3 linked regions of the Tribolium castaneum genome follow. The protein of the gene in region 1 purifies or fractionates together with the protein of each later gene. This does not show direct contact. Links are inferred from orthologs where the notes say so. Each region holds a gene or a part of one and is shown on either strand. Other genes may lie near its edges. The genes, in order: Mcm3, Psf2 and Cdc45.

Region 1 (6,809 bases):
GAGATGGGTTGGAGTTTCCCGTTTTGAGAAACTTGTATTGGAACATTTTGGATTATTTTGATGCGGAAAAGGTTCAAGGACAGGTTGTTTCGACCGCGACGACACAAAAAATTCTCTGTTGTGACGTTAAGCCCGACATTTTGTCGTACGGGATCGAGCATGTAATGGCGGAAACGGGCAAAGTGGGGCTAAGTGGAAATTTTGGCTGTGTTTCTAATTTTTTATTGTAGGAATTGATCGAAATTGCAAAGGAATTCAGAATTGACTTGGATTTGAGGACAGCGGGGTACATTAAGGCCGTTCAGAGCATTCACAATTCGATTTACGAAGCGAAAAAATACTGATTTTGTGAATTCCAAAATGTATTAAAGTGTAATAAATGATAAATCTTCCCTGAGAACGCATTTTTGTAAACTTTAATGTAATAAATAATTATCTTAGATTTTTTGAGTGACGTTTGTTGTGTGAATGCGGCTTTAGAATCAAGTGACTTTTTTTAGTAACCAGTTTTTTTATTTGAAAAGCAACTGTGGTGCAAATAACTAACCCATTATCACAATAATTCACATAAAAGTGCACCTTAATGGGTTTTTAATTAAAAAAACAGGTATACATAACTAAATTAAAGGTGCGTTTAGAGCTCTACAACCCACTGGATTGCACCTATAATGTTGGGCTTTGAAAATTAAAATAAAAAATTGGCACTGTTCTTTAAGCGTTAATTAAAAAAAAATAATTTTATTATACGAAAACAAGGCAAAAGAAAAAATTCTAAATGATCAAAGATAAGCAAGTGGCACAGTTGGCGCCTCGAAGAATTGGCGCTTGCGCGCGTGACGTTTGAGGTTATGTGGCATAAACAAACCCCAATTTTTTCCAAATAAAACCCACAAAACGCCATGGACGACCAAACACGCACCCTCTGGTGCGGCAACCTATCGGAGAAAGTGACCGAAGAGCTCCTGTGGGAGTTATTTCTGCAAGTGGCCCCCTTAGAGCGCGTCCGAATCCCAACCGACAAAAGCGGCCGTAAAACAAACTACGGCTTCGTTACAGTCAAACACGAGTGCTCCGTTAGTTACGCCGTGCGCCTACTTGACGGTACCCCCCTTTTCGACCGCAGGATCATCATAAAACCGAAGGGCCAAAATGTTCAGCAGCCCAGCCCTGGAGACATGTACAGGAACCCCTACCAGCACAACAGGCCCCACCGGCAGACGCCCTACCAAAGGTACGACAATCATAATCACAACCACAACCATAGGCCCAACTGGAATAATAATAATCACAGGAACCGCAGGAGATATTGAAATAAAACCAATTTTTTATTAAAAAAATCGCAGTTTTTATTTAATTAATTGTTACAATTAGATGAGAAATACGATCCCGTCCGCCAACATCACTTGGTTGGCTTCAGTCATTTGGTCAATTGCGGCTCGGATTTCGCCTTGGCTGAAGGGGGCTATATTGTCAGTGTTGACGGAGTCGCGGATGCGGGCAAGACTTAGAGACTGCGCCCTGTTGTCCCGGAAAGCCCTGTCGAGACTTGACCGAAACTGAGTCAGCCTCTCACTCGTGATCATGGCAGGCGTTGAGTCAATTTCAATTGTTTCAGTCTCCATTTCTTCCTCACTTTCTTCCACTTCTTGCCGCGATTTCTTCGTTCTTTGTGATTCCTCCTCCATTTCTTCATTTTCGGACTCGGATTGTGCGTTTCTTCGCCGTTTTTTCTCCTTCTCGAGCACTTTTTTGAAATAGGCATATTGCACCAATTCAATTGCTGCGTAGGCGTCTTGTGCGGTAACAGTGCGAGACATGCGGGCTTTGGCATGCGCTGTGGCCAATCGGATCATGGTTTCAAGCGTACGGGGTGTCACAGGTTGTGTCTTCGAAAAAAAAATTATGCACGAGACGAAGACGAGTGACTATACCAAAAAAACCTATAAGTGGAACCTACCCGGGCGACGTGATTTTCAAGGACGTCCTCCGACCTGAGTTTGGAGTACTCATCGGCGATGATTTCCGACGCTTGTTCGGTTAGTGTCGGTTTGAGGATTTTCACGAAATGGATGTATTTACGCATGAAATCCACACTTAGGATTTTGTCGGTTTTTTTGCGACTTTCACCGTGTAGAAGTGCGTCGTATTTTTCATACATGGGGGTGACCTTGTCGTCGTCGACTTCCTCGGGGCGCATTGTACTCAACATGTCCACGCTTGAGCCCATTGGCAGGACTTCGCCATCTTGCTCACCCGGATTTCTAATATTTTTATCAAGTTCAAAATTAGTATTTATAATTTTTTATTAATTTTTTTTTACTTATTTATTTTTAATTAACTGTATCTGTCATTTTAAAGTCATATTATTTATTATTTATATTATTAACCCCCTTGGAGGTGGAAGTTCAATTTGCAGATTTAAATTAATTAACTATATTTTTTGGGTACGATTTTGTATCTCGTTCCGCCTCCTAACACACAGTCCTCCGTAGTCCGCACAAGCCTACTAAAAAAAAATACCTATATCGGTGCATCCTGACCACGTGATCCGAAATCATCAAATCATGATCCTCATCCACTGAATCCAACATCACGAACAGCAAATCAAACCGCGACAGGAGCGAGTCTTGCAACCCGATGTTTTCCATTGGCGTCTTGTACTGATCATACTACAAATCACCCAATCAAATCGCTGCTTTCGCAACCGACCAATCAAACCCCACCTTTCCGTAAACCGGATTGGCCGCCGCCAAAACCGAGCACCTGGCATTCAAACTTGCGTGAATCCCCGCCTTGGCAATAGTGACACGCCCCTGTTCCATGACCTCATGAATGGCCGTCCTGTCCATATCCGACATCTTGTCGAACTCATCAATGCACACGACGCCACGATCGGCCAAAACCATCGCACCGGCCTCTAACCGCCTCTCGCCGGTCTCCTGATCGGTTGTAACCGCTGCGGTTAGACCAACCCCCGACGATCCACGCCCAGTGGTGGGAATGGCCCGAGGGGCGGTGCATAACACGTATCTCCATGGCAACTGCCAATCACAATCAACGATTCACAAATCGAGTCGACTTACCGGAGGAGCTGTGACTTAGCAACGCTGGGATCGCCAATCAGTAACACGTTTATGTCCCCTCTTAGGCGCGTCCCATTGGGCAGGATCTTCTCGACTCCGCCCAAAAGGAGGCACAGGATCGCCTTCTTGATGTACTCGTGGCCGTGGATTGACGGCGCCAAAGACTTGGCTAATAATTCAAAGACGTTTTTGTTCGATTTGGCCAAGTTTTTACATTTGGCGACGTCTTCACGTGAAATGGAAGGATTTGCTTCTTTTGACAGTTGGGACACGTTACTTGCAATCACCACAGTGCTGCAAACATTAATCCCGTGGCAAAAAAATGACTAAATCACACTAATTGTTAACTATTTTTGAATGAAAATAAAGACAGTGGGGCACCAAGTCGGATCAAGTGTGTTGTTTACGTGACTATATTATTGTTTAAAACACATTTTCGTAATGTAATGATTGTTTTATGGCGTCCTGTCAATTCTAGTTCCAAAACCAAAATCACCAGCTTTTTAAAATTTGGCCCCAATTATTTTTTTATGTTTTTGCTTAATAATTATGGGAAAAATACCGGAAAATGCCGTTAGTGAAGCTCCCCTGTTTGTTGGGAAGGCACCGGTAGTTCCCCACCACTTGTATGCGGTCCCCGGGTTTGCACCTATCAACAAGGTCATTATCGCAGATTATATCAACCGAACGGGGCAACTGCCCCGCGGGGGCCTTTTCAGGCATCTCCTGAATGGAAATAGTTTGGTGGTCTTTATACACCGAAAGCCCAAATTCTGTCTCCAATAAATTGCCATCCTCGTCCTAAACCACTCAAATTAATTGATAAAAAATACAAAAAAGACACGACTGACTTTAGTGGGGTACACCGACGATGTGGGGAAGGCATCTAACGAAGTCAAATCAGTGTATTTCCTTTCCATTACTTTTTTCGTTACTGGACAAAAGTGGACACTCCGGACGACCTTGGGGTGCACCAACGAGCCTTAAAAACCAACCGGTAACGCAAGAAAGACGCAAACAAGTCCTACATTTCGTCACAATCCCCTCAACACAGACCAAATTCCCCAAAAACCTCGAAGTCAAACTCCTTGGAGTAACATGCTTATTGCCGAAGCTCCCCTCAAAGGCGATGAAAAACTCGTCGTTTTCCTTGGCATAGTCGTGCGCGACTGTGTAAACATACTCTTTGAGGGCTTTCTGAAACGCCGAATGCTCCTCAAAAGCGTTAGTGAGGAGGGCGGCAGCCCTGGCCGGGTTTTTGCGGCGCAAATCATTGACATTCACCACAAGCCGCAAACTGTGGTCCGCAACCATGTTTTTAACAAGTGTGGCGTACTTGCCTTGGTCCTCCTACGGGAATTTGGGGTTAAAACACGGGGGGAAGGCAACACCACCAATTCGTACCTCGTCATCGAGGAAGTCCAAGTACTCGTGCTGCATGTCGCGGAGGCGCTGGTCTAGCTCCTGGGGGTCCATAATGGGGCACTTAACACTGGAAATGCGGGTAATAACGGGCGAAAACACGGGAGGAGTTTTGGCGGGAAAAGAGCCACAGCGGTGTTGCCAAGTCGGGCCTGGGTGGCCAGATAGCTGGCACCATGAACATTACAATCGACCAGACAAATCATAATAAAAACATCAATAAGCTGTTACAGTGACTTGCATATCACATTTGCAGAACATCTCCTGACCGTTTTAATGTGTTTCTATTACAAATTAAAACTTAACTGCATTTAATTTCTACATTTTTTATTCCCTTATTCTCAGCAATTGTCTGGTCAACTGTCATGTGGGAACAGTGTCTAGCTGTTGACACCTTGTAGCAGCGTGTGAGCGTCGTGAGCGTGTTGTGCATCGATTAACAGGTAAGTCTTGATTGTCTTGATATTTATTAAATGTTATAAGTAAAATGTAATTCGTCTGACATTATGTTTATTTTCAACGATTGTGTCTAAAATTAAAGTAAATCAAATAACTGAATCCTGACCCACGACCACGTGGTTTTTATATTGTAATTGTTTTCGCGTCCAAAACATGGCAGTAATTACATAATAACTAGAATAATTATATTTATTATACTGTTATCACTAGGAAGTTGTAACACGTGTTGTACGGTAGGCAAAATTGCTTATCTGAATTTGTGTTTTTGTAAAGGTTTTTAAATATCGCAGAGAAAATGGCTGCTTAACGCTGACTCGTACTGTAAGTTGTTTCTATTGTTGTAATGTACAACTTTCACTTTCCTGTTAAATGTGCAACCCTCAATCCTTAACCGCTCGTGACGCCCCCCTTCTGGGAGCAGGTAGTTTTTCCTTCTTAAAAAGGACCGTCACAAAAATGAGGGAAGGAGACGCGATGTAGAGCTAAAAGTAAATTGTTGTAACGTTGTAAGTTGTTGGAAGTTTGTAGAGAATAAATCTGTTGAATTTTACACCGAGTATATTAATATTTCCCCTTTCTGAAGTATCACGAAATCGTGGATACAACACTATTCTTAGGTCCAAATCGCACAATAGGTATTTTTTTTATACTTGGAAGTAAGTGAATAATCTCATTTATCGGAAGAAAGGCATACCTATATTCAGAATACCAATTATTCATTAAACTCAACTAGTTTGTTAAAGTTAACTAATTGCCTTTCGCAGTTACTTTATAATAGCATACTTTACAGGCAAATAAGCTTGACCATTAATAAACTTACCTACTCATTCTATCAACAACACAATTTCTCTCAAAGTTAGTTGCATTCCAAAAAAAAATATATATATATATATATACATTACATTATCATTATTACATTATTATCATCGATTAAATTATAATGAAAACATGTCTTTACCACAATTGTTGTTATATTGTTTATTACCGAATCTTTGCTATAAAACTATTATACAATTTATTATATGCTCTTTGGTTAACTTGATAATATTTTTAATCATCTCTCTTAATTTCAATTATCGTTTCAATTTGCTTTATCTGACTATCTTTTCGAGTGATTCTCCTATATTCAAATAAAACTTTTTAGTGTATTCCAAATATGAATAAAATATTTCTTCCAAAGTAATATAATATTCTTTAATTTCTTGATCCGTTTTTGTATTTAATGTTATTATTAGGGATTTAATATTACGAACACTCAATAAAATCCATATTGTTTTATTTAAATTAACTATTTGGCGAAATATTTATAATATATTTTGTTATCAATTTTTTATAATATGATAATTCATTTTTAATCTTATCATAATTTATTATTTGGTATTCTATTTTATAGTTTTCTAAAATTTTCTTTAAATCTTTCTTAATATCGCGTAAATTCAGTGGGGGATAGCCACCCCCCACTGAAATTCCATATTGTATAAAGCATAAAAGATCATTTGTTATTATTATATTTTTCTTTTAAATAACGTAAACCATATATCGGTCAACCACGTACTCAAATTAATTTTATAGGAGTAGTTATTTTTATTTATAAAGTCCAACAGGTTTAATGGATTAGCATTAATTTTATAATTATGTATTGCCTTAAAAGATTATATTCGTTAACGTTAGTTTCCTATTTATCTAGCAATTCTTCTAATTTAAAATGATATTTCCTAACTTTTTTTTGCCTTATTGTTATTCAACATCATTATTAATTCTTTAAAATTTTTAATCATTTTGTATATATTTATACAAATTTGCTTTAGCATTTTTATAATCTATTTCTTCGTATGAGATTTCCTA
Region 2 (5,256 bases), on another chromosome or scaffold:
ATTTAGATTTTTTTTGTAGGAAATTTATTCAAAGCGACAATTACATCATTCCACTCCAATCACCAGATTGAGTACTTTTATGAAAAACTACCAAAATAATAACATAGCTAGTAATCTCCCCCCACCCCTCCTACAAGCTTTTACCGAATTTGTGGGACAAGAAATCGAAATGTTTTTCACAGCGCTGCAAGTCAATGGTAAAAAGAATTGAAATTAATTCATTACCAACAATTTTCTTTTTTTTTAGGGTGGAAAACCGACAGTCACTGCCTTTACGTGGACGAGTGGCGAGCGCAATGGAAAGACTTTGATAAAAAGTCATTATAAATATTTTTATACAGTTTTTATGGTTGAATGAATAACAGTTTTTGATAAAAAATATATATTTTTAATAAAAATACAGTTATTTATGACGTGGGTGTTGGTTCTTTAGGCCCTGTTTGCGATAAATGTTTGATAATATCGACCCAATTCCAGCCTCGGGGCTTCTCCCCTTTATTGTCAATTCGATTCCACTGACGGCGCTTTTGGGCTTTGGTCAAGTGTTCCTTTTTTGGAACTTTCTGACTCGTCGCCTTTAAAAAAAAATATATCGTATAATAAAAAAAAGTCGTCATCTAGTCATCCATGTAAATGAAATTAATTAAAACCACCACTATTTTGACATTTACCACAAATGGTTCAATCAAAGTAATGCCTTTTCATTTCCATGGATAACTAAATATGAAATTACTAACTTGTTCAAGTTCGGGGCTAGGTGATTTCTCAACCGTTTCCGCAATTTCTTCCGGTTGTTCCAACATAAGCACCTCAAATTTTTCTTTGATAAATTCAAACAAGGAGTAAGTCATTGACATTCCTAAATACTGTTGCGCCTCCTCTTCCACCGCAGACACAATCTTGTCTTTCAAAGGCTTGATACTAAACACACGACTTGAGAACGAACTTTGAACAAAGGGGAGCACTTACATGTGTTTATTGTAAAAAGTGTCCATGTTCACTTTAGGTGCTGCGTTGGGGTACTTTTCACCCCATTGTATTTCCAATAGAAATGATTTCGTAGCATCACTCTCCCCATACTGAAAAAATGGTTATTGTAATTGTTTTGGGCCCCCAAATGACTCACTTTATATTGGAAGGTGTTGGACGAAATCTGCTTAAAACAGTCGTCTCCGTCGTAAATTGACGACAGAACTTCGCGCTCTTCATCCTGAAGCTCAGTCTCTGACATTGTAACAATTTAAAACATTTCTATTTACAAAAATGTAAAATTTTCTAAAAATACATAACCCAACTTTCGGGTGACATAACCTTAATAATTTGACAGAAGACAGATTTCAAAGATTTTATTTGGATTTTATACATAATCAAGAGTGAAAACTAGTGGAGCTCCGTGAATCTGATACAAAGGATGTGTCCTGGGAACGCCAGCCGTGAAACGGTTTAAACTAAAAAATTCACATAACCTCCCTTTTTTACTAGAAAAAATCACTCACGTTTTTCATTCGGCGTATCTGATCTAAAGTGTGTGGTAAAATCGGTCTAATCGAATTAATTTCCATCAAAGTTAAGTTTGTAACGACAGCAGAAGCCCCATTATTCCGAACCAATAAATCAATTGAAGACCTCAATTTTGACATTCTTATGTCCCAAATATCTTTAATTATCGTTCTTATTTCATCCGCACGTGAAATATCATCAGAGGCGCACCCCAAAATTTGTTTCGCTTCGACCATGTAGAACTTACTGGGCATTTTCGTAAAGTTCCTACAATTTTGTTGCACTTAAAGGCTAACAAAAGTACTCACACCTAGAAAGTTTCTCTTCGTTTTTAATCGCCTCCAAAGTCTCGATTTCCATCCAATCAGGGGGTTGTATTTTGCAATGTTTTTGTCGCTTTAATTGGACAGCAACCCATAACGGTACTTTAACAGGCATACCCATACGAAATGGGCCAAAATCACCCGAAATTAGTTTAAGGTAGTCATCGTCTGTGGTCAGTGGGACAATCGTGACTAGTTGTTTCTCACCCAAAAATTCAACCTCTTCAGGATCCATTTTTCAATGGTCGAAGATTTTTCACGTTTGAATAACCTCAATAATTTTGGCGCCAAAAGTAAGGCGCATGCGCGAAATTGAATAATGCCAAGTTCACAAATCATTTAAAAATAAAGTGCGAAAACCGTGTTTTTTATTTAATAAATTATACTATACATGACTATACTAATATATAAGGGGTTGCGCGCTGTCTTACACCCACAGAATCGTCATAGGTCTTTTTGTCACAGTTACCCTTAACGACACAACTTAGATTTTTGAGGGGGGCAGATGGGGAAAATTTTGCGTGACTTCAAAGAGAAAACGACAAAGACAAAGATGTGAAACATTTCAATCAACTCTTAATAGGAAGGATTATTTTGCTCAAAAAGTTTGATAAATGCCTGTAATCACACTTTTGGAAAAATTGTCAAGAGGGCTTTGACTTTACACCAATACGCTGCTTTTGACAGTTGTCACAGTTAGTACCACCATGTATAGATAGTCCTGGTGAACCAACTTCCCTTATTTTCCATTGTCGGGCGCAAACCAAAATGTGGAGCAAGTTGGAGCTTTTATTTTATCTGACAGATGGCACCAGCGTAGACTGGGACTGTCACAATGTTTACAAGAAAAAAGATACACGCATCACGTTGTTAAAAATACGACATTTATGAAGAACAATTAATACCTGAAGGATGCCAGCACCGAATGGTAGTGGAGTTTTTTTTCTGGAAAGCATTTATTCTGACTTCAATGTTTCGATGTCTTTCGCGGCCGAAAATGCATCGAACCGAAGTTTAGAACTATTCAGAAAATATTATTATTTCAGCGCGAAAAAAGCAGAAGTTGTTACAAGATGACTAACTTGGGTGCTGAGATAACATTTTTTAATTTCGCATCATTTTTTTTATAAAAAACAAAGAAAATTTGTGAAATTGTGACAGTCCCAGTCTACCGTGCTGCCGTCTATCAACTTGCTCCAGCGTTAGAATCAATTATAATAGCGAGTTGGTTTACCTGTCTGTCTCTATATCGTGGTTAGTACTAATGTTGTTGTTATCTCTCAGAAAGTCAAATGAAATTTCCTAATAAAGTAATGAAGTACAAGAACAGTCTAAAAGAATGCATGTAATAATTACTCCGCTTTTTTTACGTGATGAATGCTTCTGGTGTATTTGTTGTAATGCGGATTCCTTTTGACAAAGAAATGAAAGTAAACATTCTCCACAATTAATACGACAACACTGATGAAATAACCAATAAATAGAGCTACAATTGCCCCAAAAAACTTTTTCATGTTCATGATCGCTTTCATTTCCTCTTGCGTACTTTGTACTTCGGCGTTTAAAATCGACGCCATCACGTCTTGCAACCACTTTTTAATCAATCCAGCTTCCAAAACTCGCCTAATATATTTATCAACTCGTGGTTTAATCGGTGAGTTTTTCTGCAACCCTGCAAAACTCCCAGTCAAGCATTTTTCCGGTTTAGTTTAATCTCACCGATCGAAATGGGCATTTTGATGACACAGTCCGTCATTATATGCAAATTACGATCCTCTCGTGCAATATCGCGCATTTCTCTTTCGGACTGATTCTGAGTGGTCCTAGCGATTTGAAATCGTAATTGTCTTTTTACTAAAGCTTCCTTCAGGTAATAGCTGTTTTCGTAAAATGCGAACACGCCTTGTGCCACACGATCAACTGCTTCGTTTGAATCGTTAACTAGTTCGAAATTTTCGCCGATTAATTTCGTTATTGGGTCGAGAGATGATTTAAAAAACTGGCGATTTATTTCGCCCCAACCGCCGCATTTCAACCGACTGTTTACCAATTCTTGAAGAGTGTCAATTGTGACGCTACAATTTTATTTAAAAAAAGGAAAATGCAGTTGGACCGAAGTACCGAGGAGTTGGTCGTGCTAAAATAGCAGTCATACTGGCCCTATAAGCTACCACAAGTAGCAAACAATAAAGCCAGTACCACCCTGTTAACATGCGAAGCGACCAACCTGTTGGTAATTTGGGCAAAGAAACTAAAAGTAGCATACTATAGGTGTACAAAACACTATTGAAAGGTTCACTGAATTGATAGAGTCCGATTGACTGGCCTTCAAATCGTGGAGGTTTGTATTGTTCCCTCATTTTTGTGTATTTAAGATTAGAATCAAGTTTCTCGATTTCGGGACAAATTGATAAAATTATGATTTTTTTGCGTTTCGTATGAATTTCTAAAACTTGCGATTTATTCTGGCTTATAGTTTCATGAAACCGTGCTAAAGCATGAAAAACGGCACCACAAATTAAAAGACAAACTAGGACTGCAGCCCACATTGCCGGTCTAAAATTTTTGTTTTAAACTAATTCTAAGTATAGATTCAAACCTAAAATACTTGAAAGGTAGAATCAGTGTTTTCCACGAATTATCAGTCAGTGACTCAGGTGTTAGAAACGTGAGACACTCGGTATTATAAGGAATGCTTAAATCCATCAAATCAAGAATGTACGGAGTGTAGTACAAATCCCCTAGCGCTATATCGGCGTTGGTACTAACCATCTCACCCACTAAGCCTGTGTACTTCCCTGAGCTTTGTTTCCCACCCCACAAATCCACATCAACATTCACCGGTTCGTAAAGCTCACAATGGAAGTTCATGGCGGCTGAAACCGTTTGCAAAATCTACAAATAAACATCAATTCGTTGACAACTCACTTCAACTTCAGTCCCTGAGAAATTCCCAATGACTGTTCTTGCAGTCTTCTCTTGCAAACTTTTGGTGGTACCTGGAATGTGGCTAAAAGCCGCAACTTTGAGAGTTTGGTTGCGTAAATCGGAGGTTTTGTCACGAAATAAATCAATTCCTTTGCGAAATTTCGATTTGGTCCAAATGTCTAATCGACGAGGGATGAGGATTGAGGTGATTTGAGTGGGGAATGGTACGGTGGTGATTTCGTACCAAGGCATGTTTTTCTTGGTGTCTGATTTTTGACCACTGTATCGCCGGATAAAAATCACATTGATTATGCGTTTCCAAAGGTAGAAAAGGGGTTTGTCGAAAAGGCGGTTGTCATAAAGGAGAACAAATTTCGCACGGGTGTTGATAACACGGTACTTGTCGCCAAAACGTAGCAAACGCGAGACTTGAAGGGCATTTGATAGGAGAATTAGGTACATTTGACAACCTTCGTTTTTTGCAGTGTCTAGACAAGCCTGAGTT
Region 3 (5,303 bases), on another chromosome or scaffold:
CAAATAACTATTGCAAATAACTTCCAAATAACTATTGCAGATTACTTACTTTTTTGCATTGTTCGCCAAAGTTGTTTCAAAGGTAGGGTTTGTCTTAATTTCTGTTCTATATTTTCTTGATTTTTGATGTGTATTCTTTCATTTTTGAATTCGAAGCCTTTTGCATTATGTTGTTTGATCTGTAACTTTGACGGCATTCCCAATTCAAATTAAGGGGCACATTACAATAAGGTGACTTAATGAACATTGATGTGAAAATAACTGCAAAATATCTGAGATATAGAGAATTTTAGTCGGCGAATAAATTTGGAACCAAAAGAATTTTTAAATCAATCTGGTCTTTGAGCTTAGTTCTTCAAAATCTATTACACTGAGTTAAAATTAGTAAAAACAGCCACATAAAAAAGCCCTCCCATAAAAAAATTATAAAAATTTTGTGCAGTGTTTTTGCAAAGAAACAATTGAATTTCATTTCCTCAAATGTCACCGTGTATTCAAATAAATTATTTTCAAAATAGCTGATTTTCCGGAACTACGAGAAATTGGTGCCAACTTTGAAATTTTTAATAGTAACCACCTATTTTTATTGCATTTTTGAATTCGCCTCTTGAAACTGAGTAAAATGTACTTAGTACTTATCTGCCATAGTTTTTGACGTATGTCAATTTTTTATACAAATTTTCACTTACAGGGGTTTATTTAAAATATCACAGCTCGTGAACCCTTTACAATAAGGGAATAATTCTTCTTGCAATTGATAGCCAAAGGTTTGAAGGGTTTTCTCAAATCTTCAGGATTGCCAACTATCAAATTACAAGCCTACTATGATTTTTTGAAAATGATGCTCAAAAAATAATTATAAAACAGTTTTTTCAAATGGAATGACCCCTCAATGGCAATCAAAAGCGCATCAATTTTTTTATTTTTATTATCATCATCTATATCTATTTCTTTCAGTTTTTGAATAATTGCAATAAACAGAATTTTAGCTCATTACTTTCATTTTTAATCAAGTAAACTTTCGAGGAATTCGATAAAATTGTGCTATTAACTAAAAAAAAATATCCAATTTGTTTACGATTTTCATTCAAACAGTTCAAAATTCAATGGCAGACTAAGCGAGTTACTTTACAGCACTAAGTTATAATAAACTATAATTAAATATTATAATTTTACTACTTATTCGATAATGAACCTCACCTAAAAACTAAATAAGATATTGAAGTTTGACAATTGTTGACCATTTTGCAAGGTCTACTTGATTAACTATGAAAATTACCAACTAAAATCCGTTTTTTGTGATTTTTTCAAAAACGGTAAGACATAGGTATCGGACGCATTGATAAAAGTCACAGTCAGGACGTGCCATTTGAAAAATTAAGATATAGCAGTTTTTTGATAACCATTGTGGAAAGATCCTACTAGCCATGAATTTTGACAGTCGACAATTTTGAAAAATCTAGAAGACTCTTCAGACCTTCACTTATCGCAAAGGGTTCAAGGGCTGTGATATTTGAGATAAACATTTGCAAAAAAAATGTTAACAAAAAAATTTACATATATGTCAAAAACTATAACAGATAAGTAAGTACAAACAACTTGGGTAAATTTTACTCAGCTTGAGAGGGTAAATTCAAGTATGCAATAAAAATGTGTGGTTACTATTTAAAATTTTAAACTTGGCGCCATTTTTTGTAGATGAGAAAGCTCAACTACTTCGGAAATATTTAGTTGAACTCAGATTGGATCGTATGCAAAATTTTTAAACTCCAGCTATATTAGAAGTTAAAAAATTTGTAATGTAGGCCCTAAAAGATTCATCCTGTATATAATGTTCACTCGTATGTTAAGAACAGTAATTTTTTAACAATTATTTTTATCTTTTTACAAACTTTTATTTCCCAGACGGCGAAGAGACCGAACTCCAGTTCGCAGAATCGGTCCTGTCCCCAGCCGCCGACTCCTACTACAAGAAGCACAACATCAACTTCAACTCAGCCCCTGAGGACTTCTTCTCCAACTGCGAGGACGACCACTACCTCCAGTTCCTCATCGGGCTCGACTCCGAAACCAGCGACATTCTCCGCGACTTGATCGGTCTCGATGACGTGGTGCCCCTCCTCGTTGGCATCGACATCCCCAACCGACGCTTCGCCGTCATGGAGTACGGCGTGGAAATCACCGTCGACTCCGTCAGCGACTTCGTCGAGCGCTTCCAAAAAGGCGAAGTGAAATTCATCGAATTGAACGAACGAGTGGGAGAGGAACAGAGTTAGGTGGTGTAAGGTGTAGCAGTGTAGATGAGTTAATCAAAAGTGTACAGTTTGTTGTTTTGTAGCATTTAATTACCTATAAAATAGTGTCAATTCACACAATTATATACAATTGAAAAATAAATAAAAAAAATTATTTACACTATTTTATTTGTCGAAAAGTGCAGTCAATGCGTCAAAAAACCTCGTCCTGTCCTTGATATTAATCTCAAAATCTGAAAAAATCCACTACTTTCGACAAACAAACAAAAAAATTAACTTACAAGAAGTGTCAAAATAATCCGACAAGACTTCATAATTTATATTTTCAGCTGCTTCCTCAAAGGCCCGGCCTAAATTACTAAAATCACAATATAAAAATAAAATCACCAAATTGTACAGCTGCCTAAAAAGAAAACGACGCGTCCATAAAAAACCTTATTTCTTTGCGAATTAATGAAAAAAATTGAAGATTTATTTATTTCATTAAAGTTTTTGTTGCAAAATAAAATAAGTGACAATTAAAAAAAAGATCATTTCTTTTTGTTGTCGGTGTAGTATTTTCATTAAAGACTGAAAGATCACTTTGCTATCGGTTGTCCAAAAAATATTTTAAATTAAAAAATAATTATTATTTATAAAATCTCACTGCTACAAATTATACAGGCTGATTCTTTTGGGGCCGACATTATAAACTTTTTAACTTCTAATATAGCTAGAGCTTTAAGATTTTGTATACAATCTAAATCAATCGACCATTATGAGTTCAACAAAATTATTTTCAAAATGACAAAATTTCCGGAACTACAAGAAATTGGCGCCAACTTTGAAATTTGAAATAGTAACCACCTATTTTTATTGCATTTTTGAATTCGCTTCTTGAAACTGAGTAACATGTACCCAGTTGTTAGTACTTATCTGTCATAGTTTTTGACGTATGTCAATTTTTTTATACAAATTTTCATTTGCGGGGGTTCATTTAAAATATTACAGCTCGTGAACCCTTTACAATAAGTGAATAATCTTGCATTTGATAGCCAAAAGTTTAAAGAGTCTTTTTAAGTCTTTAGGATTACCAACTGTCAAATTGCAAGGCTAATATGATTTTTTAAAAAAGATGATTAAAAAATGATTATAAAAGAGTTTTTTTAATGAAATGATTGATGGCAGTCAAAAAAAACATCAATTGTTATGCAGACTTTTATTAACATCTTCTATATCTATGTCTTACAGTTTTTGAAATAATCGCAAAAAACTGAATTTTAGCTCATTATTTTCATGTTTAATCAAGTAAACTTTCGAAAAATACGACAAAATTGTGCTATTAATTAAAACAAATGTTCGATTTGTTCACCATTTTCGTTCAAGAAGTTCCAAATCCGATGGCAGACTGACTGAGTTACTTTTCAGTTTTGTTGCTTATTGGATAATGAACCAGCTAAAAACTAAATAAAATATTGAAGTTTGACAATTATTGACCATTTTACTGGTCTACTTGATTAACTATGAAAATTAAAAAGTAAAATCCGTTTTTGGGATTTTTTTCAAAAACTGTATGAAATAGGTATAGGACGGGTTGATAAAAGTCACCATAAATATGGATATTCTTTCGATTGCCATTAAAAAAAGGGGGTCGTTCGAGTTGAAAAAACAGAGTTAATAGCAGTTTTTTGAGAACCATTTTGAAAAATCATACTAGCCATGAATTTTGACAGTTGACAATTTCGAAAATTCTAGAAAGCTCTGCAAACCTTCGGTTATCAATTGCAAAAAAATTATTCACTTTATCGCAAAGGGTTCAAGGGATGTGATTTCTTAGATAAACTCTTGCAAATAAAAATTTTAACAAAAAAATTGACATATATCGAAAACTATAACAGGTAAGTACCAACAACTTGGGTAAATTTTACTCAGCTTGAGAAGGTGAATTCAGATATGCAATAAGAATGTGTGGTTACTATTTAAAAATTTCAAACTTGGCGTCAATTTTTTGTAGTTCCGAAAGCATTTTGGCATTTTGAAACCAATTTAGTTGAACTCAGAATGGTCGATTTAAATGATATACAAAATTTTAAAGCTCTAACTGTATTAAAAGTTGAAAAATATCCATAAAACTGTCCATAAATTGTTCATAAAACAAAATAGAAAACAAAATTATAGTAATACAATTGTATTTCAAATTTCACGTAAAGATGTCTGTACTTTTAATCGTTTTAATTATTAACCACAAAAAAGGTTTTATTAAAATTTTTGTTTATTAAATGTTTCAATTAGTGTAACCAGAATAAAAAAGTTATCAATGAACATTAAAGTATTTCATTTATGGAAATACCATGATTAAAATTTTGACCATTACTGCAAATAAGGTTCACTGGAAATATTTAACAACACCTACACAAGACCACAGTCACCACAAGAGATAACTTAAGACCAAATTTTTCCAATTCTTCTTCAAACTGATAACCATTTATAATTTTTTTTAAAACAAATGAAAGATTAAAAAAAATCAAGTTTGTCACGACGTTTTGACCCTTTAAGAGGGCAGAAAAATTGTCGATTTGTTTGCAAATTTAAATTATTAGTTCATTAATGCAAAATAAGTTCAAGAGTCGGTTTACAGAACATTTTAATTGCAATAAAAATTTTTCTGAGATTAACTTTACATTTGTCAATCTATTTTCAGTGGCAACTTAATGTCGAATTAGTTTTATTCCGAATTAAGTTTTAATTTCGCTTTCTGTAAAGTTAACCGGTTCTAAATGCCCAATTATTATTTCATTTTATTTACAATACCATTTCCAATTCATAAATTATTTAAGTAGTTAAATTGTCACTGCATTTTGTATCTGTTTAATTTTTATAAGTTGTTGAATTCAAAAAAGCGAACCCACAAAAAATAATCTCTTTTTTAAATTGAATTGCCACAAATTTTTTGGAAATGAAAAATTATAACTTTAAGAAAACTTGAAGCTTTAAAACTTTGCTTTAAGATTTTCGAACTCAATCCTTTCTTAATTTTTTTCTTTCCGCGATAAATCAATTATTTTGCAA

What was found.
Region 2: the proteins of Mcm3 (region 1) and Psf2 purify together in Drosophila melanogaster (affinity purification with western blotting; 3 studies listed by BioGRID, with this or other methods). This does not show direct contact. The link is inferred for Tribolium castaneum from reciprocal best matches to the Drosophila melanogaster genes Mcm3 and Psf2.
Region 3: the proteins of Mcm3 (region 1) and Cdc45 purify together in Drosophila melanogaster (affinity purification with western blotting; 5 studies listed by BioGRID, with this or other methods). This does not show direct contact. The link is inferred for Tribolium castaneum from reciprocal best matches to the Drosophila melanogaster genes Mcm3 and Cdc45.

What each region holds. Positions count from the first base shown.
Region 1 is NC_087400.1:2,691,181-2,697,989, forward strand, and holds Mcm3 (DNA replication licensing factor Mcm3), read right to left. Parts: upstream 4,689-6,809; 5' UTR 4,560-4,688; coding exon 4,488-4,559; intron 4,434-4,487; coding exon 4,112-4,433; intron 4,066-4,111; coding exon 3,935-4,065; intron 3,885-3,934; coding exon 3,646-3,884; intron 3,378-3,645; coding exon 3,084-3,377; intron 3,031-3,083; coding exon 2,724-3,030; intron 2,670-2,723; coding exon 2,521-2,669; intron 2,262-2,520; coding exon 1,958-2,261; intron 1,887-1,957; coding exon 1,368-1,886; 3' UTR 1,322-1,367; downstream 1-1,321. Other genes in the region: glutamate dehydrogenase, mitochondrial, read left to right, coding at 1-182, 231-344; RNA-binding protein 7, read left to right, coding at 900-1,310. UniProt on the Drosophila melanogaster protein: Acts as a component of the Mcm2-7 complex (Mcm complex) (Mcm complex) which is the putative replicative helicase essential for 'once per cell cycle' DNA replication initiation and elongation in eukaryotic cells.
Region 2 is NC_087395.1:26,563,621-26,568,876, forward strand, and holds Psf2 (probable DNA replication complex GINS protein PSF2), read right to left. Parts: upstream 2,066-5,256; 5' UTR 2,059-2,065; coding exon 1,811-2,058; intron 1,768-1,810; coding exon 1,497-1,767; intron 1,449-1,496; coding exon 1,368-1,448; 3' UTR 1,332-1,367; downstream 1-1,331. Other genes in the region: RUS family member 1, read left to right, coding at 20-197, 248-327; RWD domain-containing protein 4, read right to left, coding at 408-575, 738-921, 970-1,079, 1,127-1,231; glutamate receptor ionotropic, kainate glr-3, read right to left, coding at 3,104-3,125, 3,180-3,495, 3,543-3,898, 3,945-4,379, 4,432-4,718, 4,752-5,256. UniProt on the Drosophila melanogaster protein: The GINS complex plays an essential role in the initiation of DNA replication.
Region 3 is NC_087401.1:7,770,863-7,776,165, forward strand, and holds the end of Cdc45 (cell division control protein 45 homolog), read right to left. Parts: intron 2,614-5,303; coding exon 2,537-2,613; intron 2,489-2,536; coding exon 2,421-2,488; 3' UTR 2,324-2,420; downstream 1-2,323. Other genes in the region: nucleoredoxin, read left to right, coding at 1,906-2,276.